Linked DNA regions of Macaca mulatta. The protein of the gene in region 1 interacts with the protein of each later gene in a pairwise test. Links are inferred from orthologs where the notes say so. Each region holds a gene or a part of one and is shown in the gene's direction. Other genes may lie near its edges.

Evidence for each region. The genes of interacting proteins can lie anywhere in the genome.
Region 2: the proteins of HTT (region 1) and PPARG interact in binary tests that used the Homo sapiens proteins (3 or more experiments, as listed by UniProt). The link is inferred for Macaca mulatta from reciprocal best matches to the Homo sapiens genes HTT and PPARG.

Annotation. Positions count from the first base shown.
Region 1 is NC_133410.1:3,412,746-3,416,399, forward strand, and holds part of HTT (huntingtin), read left to right. Parts: intron 1-972; coding exon 973-1,087; intron 1,088-1,243; coding exon 1,244-1,457; intron 1,458-1,830; coding exon 1,831-1,936; intron 1,937-3,654.
Region 2 is NC_133407.1:151,232,385-151,236,038, forward strand, and holds part of PPARG (peroxisome proliferator-activated receptor gamma), read left to right. Parts: intron 1-2,400; coding exon 2,401-2,851; intron 2,852-3,654. UniProt on the Homo sapiens protein: Nuclear receptor that binds peroxisome proliferators such as hypolipidemic drugs and fatty acids.

The DNA of each region.
Region 1 (3,654 bases):
GGAGGCCCTTCTCGTCTGTCATCCTTGCTGGGCGGTGGGTGCTGTGCTAGCAGGACGCAGGACAGGCGGACAGCTGGCAACTGTCTCTGCATCCCTGGAGCCTGGCATAGGGCAAGTCACACGGGGGACACAGGCCTGCAAATCAGGCACATGCGTTGGTGCAGCGAGGTGATTTTGGGGGGCAGCCCCACAACAGGCCCCAGGCACAGGCCAAAGCCCTGGCTGTGCTGGCGTGTTGGGCCGTCTATGGCTCTTGCTGTGGGCATGGAGGACTCAGGAAAGGAGAGTTGAGGTGGCCCAGGAGTTGCGTTTGGGATGCAGAGAGCTTGTGGCATCCAGGTAGAAATGGTGTGTGGGGCTGGCCTCAGTGCCATGGGCACGGGCTGTGTCACATGCCTCCGAGGTAGAGGTGGGATCACGTGGTGATGGATATAAGCATCACTGGGCACATTTCTGTGGGTGGAGGGGGGCATCTTATTGGCTCCTCTGTTCACAGTGGCCACTCATTCAGTCCCTGGCTACCGGGTCCCCATTGTGCCATGGGGAAGGCAGGTGCTGTCGGGGGATCACACAAGGCAGCACGTCATGGTGGAATGTGCCACGAAGGAAAAGCACAGGGCACTCAGGAAGTAGAGGGGACTGGCCTGGGGTGTGGGAATCCAGGGCCTCTTTGAGGGACAGAGAGAGGAAGTCTGTGGTGGCCAGTATGGAGGTGGCCACAGGGGAGGCTGGGCCAGGCCGAGAGGGCAGGGCGTGGAGGAGGTAGACGGGCTCAGCTATCCAGGGAGGGGTCGAGCAGAGGCTGAAGGGTCAGGCCAGGTTACAGGGGCCTGGGGAGCCACACAGGGTAGGTGCTCCCGGGAGCCAGCCTGGCCCGCAGCTCTTCACTCCCGCGTGTGGCTGGGCATGCTGCGAAGCCCTCTCTACGTTGGATGGGGGCGGCTGAGCCTGGCTGCTGTCTCCCGTTTTCAGCTGCGTGAACATTCACAGCCAGCAGCACGTACTGGTCATGTGTGCCACTGCGTTTTACCTGATTGAGAACTATCCTCTGGACGTAGGGCCAGAATTTTCAGCATCAATAATACAGGTGAGTGGGCCCTGACTGTCTTCCTCTGCACACGGGGAGTGGGCTTCCCTTCTCTTTTCCTTGCGGGATCATACCAGTGGGCCAGTTTTGACTTGGTGGGGAGGAGGCATGAACACCTGAGACCATGCAGCGACAGAAACCTTTCTCCCTGTGCAGATGTGTGGGGTGATGCTGTCCGGAAGTGAGGAGTCCACCCCCTCTATCATTTACCACTGTGCCCTCAGAGGCCTGGAGCGCCTCCTGCTCTCTGAGCAGCTCTCCCGCCTGGATGCAGAATCCCTGGTCAAGCTGAGTGTGGACAGAGTGAACGTGCACAGCCCGCACCGGGCCATGGCGGCTCTGGGCTTGATGCTCACCTGCATGTACACAGGTGAGCATGTACACAGTGCCCGCAAGGCCAGCCCAAGTCCTGTTCAAGGGAGACAGGAGCATGCTCGCTCAAGGAACCTAGACTAGGTGTCCTCTGATTTGACACTTTTAGTGTTGCCCCAAGCTGGCCCCATCACCTTGCAAGAGAGGCTCTGGAGCCCCCAGGGCTGGAGTACCTGGTCAGGGTTGACCACCCCTCTGGTCACTCATCCCATGTGGCTGAGCTGTGCTGGGTCCTGGGCTAGCGAGGGGCTCACATCACCTGCTGTCAGGTCTTCTCCAGTGATTCATTGGACTCCTGTGTACAAAGCACTATCTACAGAGCCTGTTGGGTTGTATAGATGTAACCTTCGTACTGAACACTTTTATTACAGGAAAGGAGAAAGTCAGTCCGGGTAGAACTTCAGACCCTAATCCTGCAGCCCCAGACAGCGAGTCGGTGATTGTTGCTATGGAGCGGGTGTCTGTTCTTTTTGATAGGTAAGAAACGAAGCCCCATCCCTCAGCCGTTAGCTTCCCTAGAATTTTGGCCTGAAGCTGAGCGTTTGTGTGTGTTGGCTGATCCCCTGGCGCTGTTGCTGGAGTCCCGCCAGTGATTCCTGACCACAGCCTGACCGTGGGCTGCCTTGGCTCAGGGTTCCACTGGCGAGCTGGTGGTCCTTGGACCCCAGCGCTCAGGTGTAGTGTTGACCAGTTCCAAGGTTGTCCCAGCGCCTGCCCATCTCTCCTGAGGGCTCAGGCACCGCACCTGGCCGTGTGGGGTATGGCAGGGGGCAGGAATGACCAGTCTCTGGGAGGGTGCGGCAGAAGCCTGCGCAGTGATGAGGAGTTGGCTCAGCCTGGCTGCCTGTCGTGAGAGGGGAGCCCACGGGGGTCTGTGGGAGGGGGTCCATGGTGCCTGTGAGCAGGGTGAGGGGCAGCAGCAGGAGGAGGAAGGTGAAACCCACACATGCATCTTTTGAGACCCGTGTGGTCAGTGGCTTCTCCTCGCTACCCCTCCGCCCCACTGCTGTGCGTGAATTGGTGTTGAGAATTGGCTTCGCTCCCCTGCTCTGGAAGTGGGTTAGGAGCTTCGTAGGGCTTTTTCTTAAGGACAAGGCTCCCTGATTGCTCTCAGGCCTCAGTCCTGGCGACATGGCGGATCTGGGGCGTTGTTGTGCTGCCTTGCCTGTGCTCTCCAATCAGGGTGTCCCAGTCCTGGCGACATGGCGGATCTGGGGCGTTGTTGCACTGCCTTGCCTGTGCTCTCCAATCAGGGTGTCCCAGTCCTGGCGACATGGCGGATCTGGGGCGTTGTTGCACTGCCTTGCCTGTGCTCTCCAATCAGGGTGTCCAGTGGGGAGCCATTTGGCTTTTCTCAAGAGCATACTCAGGTGGACTTTGCTCTATTCTTTGGCCAGATGAGGTGTTCTGAACAGCTGAGCCTGTGCTTGTCTGTTTTCATGTTTTTTTTTTTTTTTGAGATGGAGTTTTGCCCTTGTCACCCAGGCTGGAGTGCAATGGCGCGATCTCGGCTCACTGCAACCTCCACCTCCCGGGTTCAAGCGATTCTCCTGCCTCAGCCTCCCGAGTAGCTGGGATTACAGGCACGTGCCACCACGCCCAGCTAATTTTTGTGTTTTTAGTAGAGACAGTGCTTCACCGTGTTGGCCGAACTGGTCTCGAACTTCTGAACTCAAGTGATCCACCCTCCTCGGCCTCCCAAAGTGCTGGGATTGCAGGCGTGAGCCACCGTGCCTGGCCCCCATGTCGATTTTAAAACGCACCTCTGCATCATTCTTCAGTTCCCACATGCTCACTGAGCACCACCACAGCTGGCAGACGGACACAGGGAGGCGCCACGACCAGTCCTGGCCTTCAAGGGGCTTGTGGTCTAGTGGACCCAGTGCTAGGTGGCGAGTGCTCCAGAGAGCGTGGTGCATGCCTTCCGCTCTACCGCCCTCCAGACGCCGCAGGGAGGCACCTTGGAGCTGACCACAGATCTCCCTCCGTGGAGCACTGTCTTCAGCGCAGCCGCCATGCCACTGCTGGGCGAGGGTCTGCGGGCGGGTAGAGCCAGGAGCACCTCTGAGAAAGTGCACTGCCGTTTCTTGGCTGCTTCCTGTGCATCTCAGTTACACACAGCTGGCATGTGTGCACTGATGAGACAGGAACATGATGGTTGCTTTTCAGCACTAAAAAGGATACTGCTCAGGGGG
Region 2 (3,654 bases), on another chromosome or scaffold:
TCTCATGACATTAAAGAAAGCCAATAAAGGCTAGTTGTGGTGGCTCACACCTGTAACCCTAGCACGCATTTAGGGAGGCCAAAGCAGGACGATTGCTTGAGCCCAGGAGTTCAAGACCAGCCCGGGCAACATAGCAAGACCTCATCTCAAAAAATGAAATAATTTTTTTTTTTAGAAAAAGAAAGTCAGTATTTCATTAATATATATTATAATACACTATAAAATGCCTGTAGAACAAAGAAACACGTTTTTTCTAGGTTCTGTGACAGCATCATTATCCATTCAAATTTTTCTCATAATTAGAACCTGACATTCTGGAAAAATACAGTAAATTTTCATTGATGTTACTTGCTCTGCCCCCCTTTTATTTCTCCCATTAATAATATTAATCCTGAAAAGAAGAAAAGAAAAAGGAAAAAAACCACCCAAGCGAAATGTTTAAGAAATACGGTACGGACAGTTTGGTCCCTTGAAAAATTAGAGCCACCAGGTAAACCTGTTCTGGGGTCCTCACATCTGTCCCCTTTTGGAGTTTGGTAAGTAGTACAGTTGAAGTGAATTTTTTTGTAACAAAAGTAAAAACTTCCAGAATAACTCCAGTAAAGGGTGTTGACGTGACGTACAAGTTTGGAAATATATTTAACATCTGAGAGTCCTTAATGTTGGTGTTACTTCCTCCAGTATAGAACAAACTTAATCTTTTGATGAAAATCATAGAGTTCCATAGATATGAATAGAATCTCCAACCGGTGCATCTTGAAGCCAGCTGCCACGGCCACTCATGCACCTTCTCTGTGCCCATTCAGGAGAGAATTCTCAACATCTCTGCTCAAAACAGTGTTTACTTTTAGTCTATCAGAGACTTCATGTTTGTTGTGCATGCACACTCACAGCTCTCCACACACATGCCCACTCCCCACACACATCCTGCTTCTGAGAAATACAACTAGAATTTCCTCTGGAGAAGAGGTGGAAACCCCTGATTGAGAAATTTAAGGCCTAGGAAAGGTAAATGACTTTTCTTAAGTCGCATAGTTCACCACAGAACCAAAGCTAGAATGCAGATACCCTCAGCTCTTCTTCCAGTGCTTTCAGGTATACAAGTATTTGAACAGGATTCAAGGTTTAACTCCTTATGTGTCTTTCAGTGTATCCGGTGTAAGTAAAATGTTGCCCCTTAGAGCAGCCTTGAGAATTTCTCAATGACTACAGACTTTGGTTAGTTCTATACAAGGGAAGTGAGAGAGAGATAATGTCATGACCAAATGACTTAACTTTTGAAAGCAGCCTATTGCAAACTTAAATAACTGGGGCATGTATTTTATTGATTGACCTGTAAGGACAGATATTTTAAAATGTAAATTCAAAACTGTTTTTTGCAGCATTCACCTATAGGCCTTCTATATCTGCTCTTTGTGAAATAGATGGCTTCCAGAGCATTAAAAAAAGAAATAGACATTTTCTTGGTTCAATAGCTCTAATCTGCTTTCAGAGTGATTTTTTAATAGTTAAGCATATTTTATGTGCACATAGTTTCATTTGCGATCTGAGAGGATTTCATCTAAAACTGAAAAGTTATTACTCGTGAAGGAGAACAAAGGAAAAGGAAAAAAAAAGTTTAAGAAAAAAAAATTGTTTTAAGCCTCTAAAGTTGCTTTATGTTCAAGTGGGTATTTTCAACCCTGAGTTGCTGAAATGATTTTTTATTGAAAGAAGGTTAAAAGTGTATTTCATTGAAAGCCAAGATAAACAGTAGATTTTGTATCATTTTAAAAATCAACAATTGGCTGGGCATGGTGACTCACGCCTGGAATCCCAGCACTTTGGGAGGCCAAGGCGGGCAGATCACTTGAGGCCAGGAGTTCAAGACCAGCCTGGCCAACATGGTGAAAACCTGTCTCTACTAAAAATACAAAAACCAGCCGAGCGTGACAGTGTGTGCCTGTAATCCCAGCTACCCAGGAGGCTGAGGCATGAGAATTGTTTAAACCTGGGAGGTGGAGGTTGCAGTGAACCCTGATTGTGCCACTGTAATTCAGGCTGGGCAGCAGAGCAAGACTCTGTCTCAAAAACAAACAAAATAAATAAATAAATATAAAAATCAACAGTGAAGACTCCCCAAACAAAAGAAATTGGGATTCTTAGCCAGTCATAGGTAAAGTGTTACAGTGTAAATTAAAGGGAAAGAAGACCAAAATTGGTGAAATTTGTTTGGTCCCAGAAGATAATTAAGATGAATAAAAGAACTTGAGAGTATTTTCTCATTATTAAGCATCTTCAGCTTTAAAGATTTTAGTTAGCAAAGCAAGTTTACATAAAGAAACAGTTTTCTGAACTGGGATGGCATTCACTAAGTTAGAAATCTCCAAGTCACCCATGTTTTCCCTGTTTTATTTGCAGCCATTCGTTATCTATGACATGAATTCCTTAATGATGGGAGAAGATAAAATCAAGTTCAAACACATCACCCCGCTGCAGGAGCAGAGCAAAGAGGTGGCCATCCGCATCTTTCAGGGCTGCCAGTTTCGCTCCGTGGAGGCTGTGCAGGAGATCACAGAGTATGCCAAAAGCATTCCTGGTTTCGTAAATCTTGACTTGAACGACCAAGTAACTCTCCTCAAATATGGAGTCCATGAGATCATTTATACAATGCTGGCCTCCTTGATGAATAAAGATGGGGTTCTCATATCCGAGGGCCAAGGCTTCATGACAAGGGAATTTCTAAAAAGCCTGCGAAAGCCTTTTGGTGACTTTATGGAGCCCAAGTTTGAGTTTGCTGTGAAGTTCAATGCACTGGAATTAGATGACAGCGACTTGGCAATATTTATTGCTGTCATTATTCTCAGTGGAGGTAAGATTTGTCTTTTGATCCTCTATGAAAGAGGGTGGGATGATGGTGGGATGGCCAAAAGAATTTTGGATTTCCTTATTAGTCTGCGTTCTTTGTCGCTTTAAGTGCCAATGGCATAATGCCATGAATCACCTCTACACGTGCAAAACACTGTACCAAGAAAGAGTATCATAAGTTTGCAGTATGAAAGTTATGAGTAACCCAGGATCTTCTCTTTCTTCCCTCAACAATATAGTTTTTCCAATCAAATGCCCTCTTCTTTTTCTTTTCTTTCTCTCTTTCTTTCCTTTCCAGAAAGGAAGATTAGAGGCCAATCTAATCTTTGGTTCCTGTAAGTAATGGCATGTATAACTTTGCTTAAGACAATGCTTACTTGACGTAGAGAAGGAACTACTAAGTGTTTCTGGTCAAATCATGCTCCTGCCCTTCCAACAGTAAGATACTACTTTGAATTGCTTTCGTGATATCAGGAATTAAGGCATACCTACTGACCTCCACCCACTCTCTTGTGTGGATTCCTCTGATGGCTTCCCTTCAAAATACCTTTGTGAGGTAGTTGGTTGTGATTAAGAATGCAATCTGAACCGAACACACAACATAGAAATAAATTTAGTTATTTAGCAATTTGTTGTATTTTTGGCCCTGCAAGTACATGATCTGACTAACCAGTTCCAAAAGCCAGATTTTTTACTGAGTGTGGCTTTTTTTTCCTTTCCTTTTTTTTTTTTTTTTTTTTTTTTTGTGAGACAGGGCCTCACTCTGTCACCCAAACTGGAGTGCAGTTGCATGATCATAGCTCACTG